Kluyveromyces lactis: one gene and its partner. The protein of the gene in region 2 interacts with the protein of the main gene of each other region in a pairwise test. Links are inferred from orthologs where the notes say so. Each region holds a gene or a part of one and is shown on either strand. Other genes may lie near its edges.

Evidence for each region. The genes of interacting proteins can lie anywhere in the genome.
Region 1: the proteins of TRM112 (region 2) and MTQ2 interact in binary tests that used the Saccharomyces cerevisiae proteins (3 or more experiments, as listed by UniProt). The link is inferred for Kluyveromyces lactis from reciprocal best matches to the Saccharomyces cerevisiae genes TRM112 and MTQ2.

Annotation. Positions count from the first base shown.
Region 1 is NC_006042.1:1,643,458-1,645,973, reverse strand, and holds MTQ2 (S-adenosylmethionine-dependent methyltransferase), read left to right. Parts: upstream 1-1,328; coding exon 1,329-1,997; downstream 1,998-2,516. Other genes in the region: CLF1 (Clf1p), read right to left, coding at 1-382; NEDD8 family protein RUB1, read right to left, coding at 737-821, 923-1,071; DOP1 (Dop1p), read right to left, coding at 2,049-2,516.
Region 2 is NC_006039.1:1,637,567-1,639,848, forward strand, and holds TRM112 (RNA methylation protein TRM112), read left to right. Parts: upstream 1-1,349; coding exon 1,350-1,748; downstream 1,749-2,282. UniProt on the Saccharomyces cerevisiae protein: Acts as an activator of both rRNA/tRNA and protein methyltransferases. Together with methyltransferase MTQ2, required for the methylation of eRF1 on 'Gln-182'.

The DNA of each region.
Region 1 (2,516 bases), on a different chromosome or scaffold from region 2:
GAAGAGCGTTTGTTGCTCTGTCTAACAAGTTCCTTGCATGGTTGATATTTTTCCATTTGATTTCACTGTCGATGTATTGAATCCATAGTGGAATAAACCCATGATCAACAAGAAGAGCGCGTTCATAAATGGACCTAGCTCTTCGTATATCTTTCTGATCAAATTCAAATTGAGCATACCTCATCCATTGACGAAGGTCTAACCTATTTCTTTTCAAAACTGTCTCATACTCTGTTCTTTTCCTTCGTTGCCAGTCTTTCAGTTCTTCCAAATCTAATATATCTGCCTTCGTAGTAGCTGCAATCTGCTTCTTTTGGCTAAAGGCATCCTTCAAAATATTATCGGCAGTGATGGCTTCATTGGATAAACTATTGTCACCCATGTTACAGTATAGTCAGGTAAGTTATCCGTGTTTTTCTTACTTTTGTTTGCATCGTTGTCGTTAAGTTCATCTGTTTCTACAATTATAATGTTCGCACTAAATTTGATATCTGAATCATTATGTATTTATAAGGTTCATTCATGCATACAAGGAAAAGCAACAAGCATGTGTTACATCCTTCCTTTGTTTGATAATTGGACGGTCGTGTAAATGTAAATTATGTCATTCATAGTGTTAGCTTCCAATAATTATAGTCGTTTTATTAAATGCAGAGTAATTCCTCCAGGTATTTATCTGCAAAATACTTATACACATACGTATCTTGAGGTTTCGCAATGCAATGACACATGGCTCTCAACAACCGCCTCTTAAAGTTAGAACAAGATGTAAAAGAGATCCATCTTGCAAGTCGGCACTGCCGATTGTTGCGTTATCATCTCTGATTTAAAGATAGCATTACTTACTAGTTAGTAAAAGAGTCCCTACATTAATTTGATATCAAACTCTTCTCAGTTCTGAATTATCAGTTAATTAACATACATTTGTTTGCCCTGGAAGATCAACTTCTGCTGTGATGGTGGAATACCCTCTTTTTCTTCTAATAGCTCTTTGATATGATAGACCGTTTCTGAACTTTGAACATCTACGGAGATTTCCTTCCCTGTTAATGTCTTGACCTTTAATTGCATCTTTCTCAACCACAAACAAGCAACTGATTGTCGATTCTCTGAAAATGGTGATTAATAGTTGTATCAAACAGTAGACTAGTTGTTAAGCTTCAATTTAATTACTTTCTTTTAGATGACCTTTTGCATACGTTATTGTTCAATATCAACTTTTCAAATACAATATTATATATGCGATGACTTCCATGTTTGAAAAGATACAGGTGCAGAACAGATATTGATGCGAGCTATAGCTCATCAGGGCTTAGGATAACAGGGCGATGCTAGCTACACCATACGTCTCTTATGATTATAATAAAGTATACGAGCCAAGCGAGGACTCTTTTCTTTTATTAGATGCATTAGAAGCTGATCTGAGTTGGTTGAATAACAGGTTCAATGACGCAGTACCATTGACTATAGAAATTGGTTCTGGTTCTGGGATAGTCTCTACGTTTCTTATGCAAAATGGTATACCAAACGCCAATGGACTTTATTTGGCAACTGATTTGAACCCTTGGGCATTGGACGCTACCTTAGACACTTGTTCGAAGAATGGTTGCAAGAATAGCCATTTTGATGTATTACAAACAGACCTTACGTCTTCAATAAGGGAAAATGAGGTCGACCTGCTTGTCTTTAATCCACCATATGTACCTGCAGAAACTGTACCAGAACTGCCTCATTCAAATCATGCTGTTCGTGATGATGAGTGGCTCTTTCTAGCATTGGATGGTGGTGATGATGGGATGGTGGTCACACAGAGACTATTGAATGGATTGGACAGAATTCTTAGCTGCAACGGAGTAGCGTACATATTGTTTTGTGCTAGAAATAAACCTGAAACTGTGGCAAGTAAGATGAAGTTCAGCGGATGGAAAAGTGAATTAGTGATACACAGAAAAGCAGGGTGGGAAGTATTAAGTGTTTATAAATTTTATAGAAACTGATGAACGCAAATGTGAGCTTCTCATTGCTTAAATGAAAATATTTATTGAAGATCACTTAATGAATTGATGACAAATGTCATGCGATAAATCATCAATACATACCTGTTCGTTCAAGGGGTTTAAGTTGTACATCGCTTCATAGTGATCGTAACTGAGATTGAAGAAGAAAGGAATGAGGTTTACAACGCTGTCAATGGAATGTATGTTGACTAGCAAGGGAACACGGAATGTAGTATCTTCATTCAGTGTAACACCCGACGTCGTGACCATTACCAAATCTTTACATTGGCTTATCTCGTCTACTAGCGCGACATAAGGATCCTTCTTGTAAATACTATTAATAGTGTCAATGACGAATAACCACTCATGAGTGGCAGAAAATTCTTCTACGTTAACGGTTAGAAGAAGATCAAGAGTCTTCGATACTTGAAGGACAACATTACTGTCAATGGATTGTTGAACTTGTATAGCTTCATATATTGTGAGTAAAGATGATTGTAAACCTGAGAATAACATCGA
Region 2 (2,282 bases):
ACGTTAACTAATATTCTCTAATTGTTTTTTTTTCTGAATATTAAAACAGAACTAAACGACAAATTTAAAGTGTCTCCCAAATTGTGAAATGGTCGGATAGAAAGATAACGTACTAATTAATAGCCATTGGTTTCTCCTTTCCTATACTTAATGATCACAATAATTTAGGTTTCTTGATCTGTTAGTGGTTAGAGTGTTGTTAAGCCAGAGTTGTATTTTTGCTTTAACATACAATTAATTAGTTCATTTGTACATACAAATTGTCCATATGCAATAGAATCCTTAGATAATGGCAAATAATAAATAGAATAAATAAAAAAAATATTTTCAGAAAATAATAAAAAATAAGTTAAAATAAATTCTTCAAAAAAATACAAAAAACATAATTAAATTCTATAAAATAAAGCAAAATTCACTAAAATCAATCAAAAGTAACACAAATGTTAGCATTCAATAACAGTTCTACCTTCAAATAAATAGTAAAAACGCATAAACAGGAACGAAGATTATAGTACCTGCTCAACTTCTTGACAGTGGAGTCTGTCGTACGTAATGTATTCAAAAATTAAGTAAAATCATAAAACATCATGTGACTAAAATCAAATTTTACATTTTCTCTCTTTTTATATAAAATAAATTTCTAAACTTTTACTTTATTGCAATTAAAAATATTTTTTTATTAATTTTATATTGAAAAAATTTTAATTAAAATAATGTGGAATTTTGAATTTTTTAAAATAAAATATATGTTTTGAAAAATTTTAGTTTCCGAAAATTAATTTATTTATGGTATTTTGCTTAAGCATAAGAAGTGAAATTGGCTTAAAGCTCTAAAAAGGATAGGAGCCATCTTTTTATGTTTGCTGAGATCCGAAAAAACACTAGAGCAATGCCTCTCTTTTTTTTACGGATACATGGCTTTTCCTTTCTGTTATTTTAAGAGTAGCTTTGATTCATATGCTCAATGTGACAGGATAATATCTACAAGAATAATCTCAACAAAGAAAATAAAAAAAATTTAAAAAAATGTCTGTGAAACGATTAGCATGCTTGTCTGCCTCAAGATTGATTTAATTTTTGGAGTGTTAACGTTAGGTAGGAATGAATCAGATATTGAAGATTATAATACTTACATATTGTTCTTCATATGCATACCCTGCTTCTTTCTGGCATGGGAATCTTTTCTTTTCATTTCTGTAACATGAAAAATTAAAAACCGTAAAAATCGAATTATCAATGAATTCGAACAGAGTTGTTAATGCGATGAGATGAAGTGAGTCCCAATAAAATCAGCATCATTTTGTTATTGTGAATCGAATTATACCCGACCCATTAAACTAACTGCAGATATGAAATTCCTAACTACAAACTTCCTTAAATGTTCCGTGAAAGGATGCGATAACAGTAACCTGAATTTCCCACTTCGCTACGTTCGTGAAAATTGTCAACTAGAACAGGATGAGAGCATCGAATTCAACCCGGAGTTCCTTTTAAGAATAATTGACCGTGTTGATTGGCAAGCTGTAGTTTCAGTAGCATCAGATTTAGGAAATACTGAGCTACCACCCAACAAACCAGAATTTGAAGAGAATTTAACGGATGAGGACATGGTCATTCTAAGAGATCTGCACACACTGTTAATTCAAACTAACATTGTAGAGGGACAAATGCAATGCAAAAACTGTGAACACATATACTACATAAAAAACAGCATTCCAAACCTCCTTCTACCACCACATCTAGCATGAATATTCAAATCCAGCATCTATATATGTACATACAGTGAACTTTCTAGCTTAATAAAGAATAATTTCAGGTCACGTGTTATATCAGCTGACGACGAGGCTTTGACAATCAAAAGGCCCACATTGTTGAAGAGCCACCATGATGAAAATCCAGAAATGGAGAGAAAACAAGGTTTGTATGTTCGAAAAAAAGAGGGTTTTAATCCAGCCAGGAATGATTCTTAATTAAGTAAAGAGTGTTAAAATAAAATCCAGGATGCACCGTACTTCGCATAATTTTCGTTATTTTATTGTATTAGAGCTGTAGGAAGTAAGTTTTATTGAGTACTTTGCTAACACGAATAAAAGGTTGTCTTAAAACGCCCCGTGAATACACGTTTTCTTCGGTTAAATATTTTGCCAGGCTTTTCAATCCGGTTTGTTTCTATCAGTTTTATATTAACACCTGTTACAGCACCGGTACTTACTTGTATTTTGCTGTTTCTTTTGAGCCTGATATAATAATCATTGAAAGCCATATACTCTGTGGGGTTTTGT